Linked DNA regions of Rattus norvegicus. The protein of the gene in region 1 interacts with the protein of each later gene in a pairwise test. Links are inferred from orthologs where the notes say so. Each region holds a gene or a part of one and is shown on either strand. Other genes may lie near its edges.

The links. The genes of interacting proteins can lie anywhere in the genome.
Region 2: the proteins of Exoc1 (region 1) and Resf1 interact in a two-hybrid assay, tested with the Homo sapiens proteins (2 studies listed by BioGRID and IntAct). The link is inferred for Rattus norvegicus from reciprocal best matches to the Homo sapiens genes EXOC1 and RESF1.

The regions. Positions count from the first base shown.
Region 1 is NC_086032.1:31,996,926-32,000,978, forward strand, and holds part of Exoc1 (exocyst complex component 1), read right to left. Parts: intron 3,732-4,053; coding exon 3,504-3,731; intron 3,309-3,503; coding exon 3,176-3,308; intron 2,057-3,175; coding exon 1,947-2,056; intron 1,232-1,946; coding exon of another isoform or gene 1,178-1,231; intron 1-1,177.
Region 2 is NC_086022.1:184,083,681-184,087,733, reverse strand, and holds part of Resf1 (retroelement silencing factor 1), read right to left. Parts: intron 3,868-4,053; 5' UTR 3,815-3,867; coding exon 1-3,814. UniProt on the Homo sapiens protein: Plays a role in the regulation of imprinted gene expression, regulates repressive epigenetic modifications associated with SETDB1.

The sequences.
Region 1 (4,053 bases):
ACACACACACACACACACACACACACACACACACTACTATAATTTTTACTTGTTTTCGAAACAGTCTCACTATGTAGCCTTGGCTAGCCTGAAACTCTCTATGTAGAGCAGGCTGGCCTCAAACTCAGAAACTGTCTGCCTCTGCTTCCCAAGTACTGGGATTAAAAGCATGTGCCCTGCATCCACTTAGATACTAGAACTTCTAATAAAAGTTACCACGGAGCTACCTACTACAGCCAAATATTAGTCCAAGTGGAGTATGCTTTCATTGTCTGTTATTACACGGCAACTAAGGTGGGAGTGACAGAGGCACACCATCATATGCTAGTCCAAACCTCCCAGCAATTTTTTCCCTCCGTCTGGAATGGAAATCTCCATGCTCTTTAGCCCTTCTGCTAGTGACCCGATGACTAACTTCGACAGAGATGATCTTCCTTGCCATTTTCAACAACACATCACAGGCTGTTGCAACATTCTCATTTTTAACATGCACCACTCACATGTTAACATTTCATATTAGAGTTTCAGGAATGAGGAGCATTCATTTTATACAAAGCCATTAGTTTAAAAGGCAAAGAAGCAGAGGGAATGAATAACTGCACTTGATAACCAATAGTTAAGGATGCAAAAGGACCACTGTCAGCTGACAGACATTCTTGTCATCATTACACACATGGGCAGCATCACTGCCAATATCATTAAAAACAATAAACTAAGACAAATGTGTCCTATGTGACTTTTCAGTTGACTTCTTGCCACTTTCAAGTTCAGTGAAATGTTGAGGGCGTCTGCCCTAATCTCCCCCTCCCATGCTTAATAAAACCACAGTGACAGCTGCATTCCCAAGGGTGTCTGTCTCCCTGCCCTGCATGTTGGGCTGCTCATGGACAGGATCAGTAGCATTTATCCCAAAGCAGTGTCCACTCTGCACCTCAACCACCAACAAGTAATTACTGAAAAAACCAAGGAGCTGAGAGACAGGGAGAAGGGCAAGCAGAACGTGGTTAATGCCTGTCTGGATAAATGGGACATTTAAAAACCATTACAATTATAGTTAATGGGTAGCTTCAATCAGTAAGTTAAGCTGAAAGCATAAATACTCTGCTGCTAACTTTGGCAAACTTTATAGACATCTGAAAACAAATGACAGAAGCTTGAGCGGATTTGATGTACTCACAGGAACGGAAAGAAAGTAGGACCTGCTATAGAGCTGAAGGAGGGCCTGAGTGAACTAGTTGGAAATAAGATATAATAAAGACAATCATTTCAGGATACCTCAAAGAAAAGCTGATGTCTTCAGAGAGAATTTATTCATTATTAAGATTTCTCCTGATTTTTCTGTTCAATATGGGTAATATAAAAGACAAAAAACCCCCACAAGAATCTAATTATATTAACTATTAAAATACCTTTTGTTCAAATTTTATAAGGTGCCCGTGGCATTATTAAAATATCACTCCCATATTGATAATTATAACAACTCTTTCCAAAAAGAGAGGCAAGTTTATAATATGGAGACTTAATCAACTAAAATTCACAGCTGAACTGTTATGCTTACATGAACATGCCGTATTTGACTACACAACCTATGAAACATTAAAGATAAGGACCCAAGTCTGATTCTCACCTTGAAACACTGAAGCACACAAAGGCTGAAAGTTAACAGGTGCCTGCCAACTGTTTATGTAACTATGAATGGAGCTACCTGACTCCTAGGGTCAGTTTCTGCTGAAAGGAGCTTGGCGTCTGTGTAAAGGTTCACCTAAGTCCAAGGTACTTCTGTGAGGAACTATGCACAGATTTCAAAGTCTTAAAACCACAGACACGTGTGAAGGAATACACTATAGCCCCAGTGAACACATTCGATATTTGGGGGAATTTCAGTTTAGGGTAACATATAAATGACCAATGGAAACATGTCAGTTTTAATAGTAAATTAAAATTACCTGTTGAACAAAAACATTGTTGAGATGACTGGCCAGTCTCCGGGCAAAATGCTCCCTCAGCTCGCTGAAGCGCTGCTGCTGCTGCCTGATGGCCAGGAGCATGTCATGGCCTGTGTCAGAACAACAGTCCCTCAGTGACTCGGTACGTGCAGGCAGTCTCCCAGTGTGCATGTGGAGGTCGGAGGACAACTCTGTGGACTCTCTTCTCAGCCTTCACCTTTGCATGGGTTCGAGTGATCCAACTCAGGTCACCCAGCTGTCCAGCAAACCCCTCTTCTTGAGGACCATTTTGTTGGCCTTTCTCCATGCTTATCCCTCCATGCCCATCCTCCCCTGACCCCGGGGCACCCAGAGCCTTGTGCATGTCAGGCAAACGGTCTCTCACTGAGCTGTAGCTCAGATCTATACTATGCTAATGATACCCAGACTTAACCTTTGAAGAATCCAAAGCTTTTTTATTTGCTCTATAAAATTTAAAAAGGAGGAAAAGTAACACAACATACTGGTTCTTCTTCAGCATCTGCCTGGTAATCTTTCTCAATGAGTGCTTAGTTGATCTGACTGCACAGTCAGGTTCTGGAACCACTGCCTAGGAAACCCCATCTTCTCTGCCCTGGCCCAGCGTCTACGTGTGCTCGCCTGCTTCTGCTAAAGAAGCAGAGACTGACAGGGCGGTGAGATGGCTCTGCAGGTGAAGGTGCCTGCACATACCTGGACACCTGAGGTCAACCCCAAGAAGCCCCGTAAAGGTGGAACAAGAGAACTGACTCTACAAAGGTGCCCTGTGACCTCAACATGTACATTGTTACACACAGTGTACACGTGCACATATATGTGTGTACACATACAATAATAAAGTCACATTTTAAACAGGATTATGGTAAAGCCCTGAATGGTGGTGCCTGCCTGCTCTCTTAGCACTTGAGAAGCAGGGGCACTGTAGGTTTGAGGCCAGCCTAGGCTATGTAGTGAGATGCTAAGCCCCCAACCAAAAGTAAAGCTAGATAGATCAGAATGATAGATTGTGAAGGTAAGATGGTCCACTAGAAGGAACTGAAATGAAAAAGTTAGTGTTAATAGAAATCTGTTGGAGAATCTGTTAAACCCATTTGTATAGCTAATAAAGTAACCCTAAATCACTTAGCCCAAGTTACTTCTTGTCAAAGTATTTCTACCAAGTCCCAGTGTTAGTCTGGGTTCTCAGATTTTATTATGGCTACAGCACACACCTGGTCGAAGGGCGACGTTCATGCACTGCAGAAGGGCGTCAGCAGCATTGGTGCAGGCCTCAATGCCTCTGGAAGAAGCAAGATCTCCATCCTGAAGGGCCTTTACATGACCTTTGGCCAAGTCCATGTGGTTCTGGAACATATTCAAACATATCACTTGCACGTGTAATTGTGGGGGAAATAGAGGCAGGGCGCTACTCAAGCCTATCACTCAGTCTGCAATGACTCTAAATCCTGATCTCACAAGGAGGTTGGTTCATACATGAGCTTTACACGACATTACTAGTCGTCCTGCTTTGCCCCCCTGGTCGCCTATGAAGACGCTTACCACAAGGAACTCTATCTCAGACAGGAGCTTCACGTTATTCGTGTTGCTCAGGTGGATCAGGTGGTTGCTTTCGGAGATCTGGTCCATTTGCTCTTTTACACTTTGGAGCATTTCCTCATAACTGCTCAGTTTCAGTTCAATCTGGTCCACCTCCTGTAGGGCCTCATCCAGCAACTGCATCAGGATGTTCACCTGCTTTTCAGAGGCCATGATTGACTGAATGTTGGCCTACAAAGTAAAAGAAAATTGAGCAGCTCTTGCTGTTTGACTGTGTTCGAGAGCAGAGGTGAAGGGCGGCCAGAGCTCTGTGCATCTAGTCAGCAAGTTTCCAGTTCACGCTCTACACAGAGTGTGGAAGGCTCACTGGCCTCTGCACTGAGGTCTGAGAGCATGCTTCAGAAACTGTGCAGATATCAGAGGCTCTGTTCTAATGAAGCTCTAGATCCCGCTCCCTCTCCCACACTTACCCTGCTCCCCACATTTATTTCAGCTACATTTCTCTCGTGATAATTTGTCCTTTTTACCTTCTTAAAAACAACAACAACAAAAA
Region 2 (4,053 bases), on another chromosome or scaffold:
AGCTTATTTCTGCAGAATCCTTGCTGGTCTTCATGTGTTCAGAGTTACACAACACATTTTCTACACAAATGTTTCCGGAAGCGTCACTCCCAGTTACATGTTTGTCTTTCCGCCGTTGTAAATACTCCTGCACTGTTATAACTCTAGTACTCTTCAAGGAGCTGCCCTTAGAGTCTGAGGACTCAGGACTTGGGATAGCGTTCTCTTGAACACTGGCTCTTTCATTGGATTCCCTCAGAGCACTGCACAATTTGAGTGTCTCTCCAGCGTTTTTGTTCTGCTCTTGCTTTTCATATTTCTTCTTTTTTATCTCCACATCTGGTATAATCATGTTGTCTGTCTTTCTTTTTTCAAAATATTTCAGTCTGGAGCCACCTGCTTTGAATTTTAGTTTTTTCTTTTCTGGTGACACAAACTGTACCAATGAGGTGTTCCTCCTGCATGGATCTGTATTTGAAGGAAGTTCTACAGGTGCTTTTACTGGATTCGAATCTTGGGAAGTGGGTTTTCTCTGTAGGCTTTCCTGAGAAGCTTGTTTAAAAAATGACATATTTTTATCAGAATTGGAAGTTTTTACATGAAGTATTTCGGGGGTTGCTATTTTACTGCTTTTTGAGGGATTTAGTCTGTCACATTCAGATGAAGTATTTTTTAGTTTTTGCTCCATTTTCAGTGAGCTATCATGTCTCATTTTTAAATTATCTTTATCTTTTTTGTAACATTTAGCTGAAAAATGTTGCTGTTCCTCTCTGCTGTCTTTTGTTTTAGATCCTTTGGTCTTATCACCATGCATTTCAGAAAAATGGCCTTTCTCAGCTGCTTGGGTCAGAGGAGTTTTGGGGTTATTAGAAACAGGATTAATTTCAAAAATAGTGATTCCATTATTACAGGGCTGCTCTCCTTGTTTGCAGCTGTTCATATCCAAACACTGGTCTTTCCCCTTCTCTTCATTGGAACTGCAATGACACTTTGGCACACCCTCATAAACCATTGAGAGCCAACCCAAGGCACAGCAATGGATTTTGTCTTTCTCTGGGTCCAACATTCCAAAGTCATGGCTTTCTTCTCTGGGGACCTGTGAGTCACATGGGCTCTTCACTTCTGCAACATTTTTCCCCTCAGGTTCTGCCAACTTGTCTAAGTCACAGGGCTGATCCTCTTCGGGAAACAGTTCTTTGATTTGTTCAGAGTTTAACACTGTAATTTTTATTTGGTCTGTGCTATCCCCAAACACGTTACTAGTCTTATCGCCAGTTTCATTTTCTAAGATTTTGTGTGTCTTTTTTTGGTCCACAGACACTTCATGCCTGCTAACAGTTTCAATGCCATAAGGGAACTCTTTTAAAAGTTCTGACAGCTGGTCATGTAGGTATGAGACAGGTTCACTTTCATCATTAATCTCGTTTACTGCAGGCAGACAGTGGGCTGACTTATTGCTTAAACTATCAGTTTCCTGAGGGTGAGGATCCTGCTGAAAACCAGCCGGTGAACAGACATCCTCAGCTGTGCTTTCTTTTCCACCACTGCATTCCCTACCGCTTTCCTCTATGGTTTCTGTGTTTGCTTCCACGTACTCACAAGATGCTGGCTCTTCAGGCTGCAGCACCTCTGGCTGCTCAGTGATCTCACGAGGAACATATGTATACCGTATATACTTCTTATCTTTCTGAAGGCTAAAGTCTTTATTTTCAGTGGTGCCATCTACTTGTTCTTGTTGATTATTAATTACCTGATTAGGTGAAGGTTTCTCGGGCTCATTTTGTACAGAGTTGAATATCTCTGCTATCTGGGAATTGTAAGATACATCCCCTTCTGCAAGAGAACAGATACTTTCAATCTGTAACATGGGTCCACTCACTGTGGTGCTATCCACAGAGTTAGGCACAGCTTCGGTACCCAGGGGAGAAAGTTTTCCTAAACCATGATCAGCTATGTCTGGATCACCCTGTGTTGGTTTATGCTGCTTTTCCTTTTGAGCAGGCAGAGACATCTCCACTGACAGGTTACTATCTGCTACTACTCCTGTAATGTGAAAAGGTAAAGCAGCAGTTTCTGCCTGTTGGTGTTGTAAGCTACAAATACTACCTTCCTTAACAACTGGATACGGCGGTTCTGGTAAAACTTCAGGCGCTAACTCTTTTCCAGGTAAGGGATTAGTATCTGCAAGAACTAAAGGTGACACCACAGCAATCTGAAGCTCTGTTCCTTTTCCAACAGCTACACCTGAAGACTCACCACTCGGAGTGAGAACTGACAATATTGTTTGTGATGAGCTCAGCAGTTTCTGAGAATTCCCAACACCAGAACAAAAACTCTTAACGTGAACTTCGTTTGTGGGATGTGAACTGCCAACTACCGTTGTACTGATTCGTGAGGTGTTACACTGTTTTTCTTCTAAAGGTTTTGGGACATTTTCTTCTGTGGTTTTTGGAGGTTGGTTTTTCCAAAGAGAAAGGCATGTTGCTAGCAATTCCATGGAGCAGTCGTTGCCATTTTTAGCAGACATTTCTTTTGCTGAAAATTCAGAATGCTGAATTGGTTCAGTATAAGAAGTATTGGCTGTTTTACTACAACCAGCTGCCATCAAAAGACTTTTATTAATTTTAATTTTTCTTGCAAGTTCTGTAAACTTCTTTTTTATTTCTACTAGTGATTTAATATCCCTCGCCAGTTTTTCTTTTGTGGCATTTGTGTCTATTACTTGATTTGTACTTGGACTGTAGGGATATTTTCTTTTCTCTTGATTATTTTGAACAAGCGCCTGAACACCATCCCCAGAAGATCTAACAGTGTCACTATAAGACTGCTTGGCATTTATTTTCAAATCAGAGAATTTTCCAATGGTGAATGATTCATTGGGGTTCTGCCACTGCTGTTTAAAGCCTCTGTAAGAATCTTGCTTTTTTTCAGATGAGTGCACTTCTGGACTCTGAGGGACTTCCATAGGCAAGTGTTTAGAAACAGGCTGAGTATTTTGTACATGTTGGCTTCCATATCTACAGCTGTAAGGAAGGGCAGAGAGTCTTTTGCTGGTTTCTGCAGCATATGGATGTGAAGACAAAGGTGCAGAATGCTTTGACTGTAAGGCCTGTGTGTAAGTTGGAAGCGGATTATTTTTAACTTGTAATGATGTAGTGGCTGGCAGTATGCGGGAGTATTGCTTCAGAGGTGGCCTGTATTCTGGATAAGTTAGTTCACTGGATGTATACTGTGTCCAGTCAGCCAGCTGATCTGGTATGAAGTGATTGAGTCCCTGATTTCCTTGATACGCTACAGGAACTTTTCCAGAATTAAAAGGAACCATTTGCAGTTGCATAGAATAGGTATCTGATGTGACGAGCTGACTCTGTGGTGTTTGCATGTAAGGCATATTAGTCCTTCCATCAGGATTATGGGATATGGTTGCTTCTGTATGGGAAGGCATAAAATTCTTCACGGATGAGCCAAACCAGACATTCTGCATAACTCCTGAAGACACTGTCTGCAAATTGTGGTTTGGTTGTTGGGGCCCTTTAACATTTGTACATACAACTCCTTCCATTGAAGACTGTGAGGTCACAATTGTCCTACTAGGCATGTTAGAAACAGAGATCTGAGTCTGAGGAGTCATATAATTTCTGCCGCTCAGAAGTGGCTGGGAAACTGAATTTGAGTTACTGGAATACATGCATGCTTCTTGGTTATGGGCAGGATAGCTAAAAGAACTTTGAGAAGTTGTAGAAGTCATTAAAAACTGTTGTAATATAGATGACTGCGTTTTAGAAAACTTTGGGGGTTTGGCAACAGCATTCTCTGGTTTTGCATTCCAACTCATAGTTGATCTGGCTTAGCAGTATTGTAAAGTCTGTGGTTTTGAATGTCATAAATCTGCAAGAAATGCAAATAAAGATCTTTCATTAAAAACTTTTTCTTCCCATCCCCCTACCGCACCCCCCTTTTGGAAATAGTCTTTTTGACCTAGAGCTCCTTCTGTAGACCAGATTGGCTTCAAACTAAGGGTAATCACACCGCCTAGACAAAACTTAAACAACAAAAATAGAAGCAAACCATGTC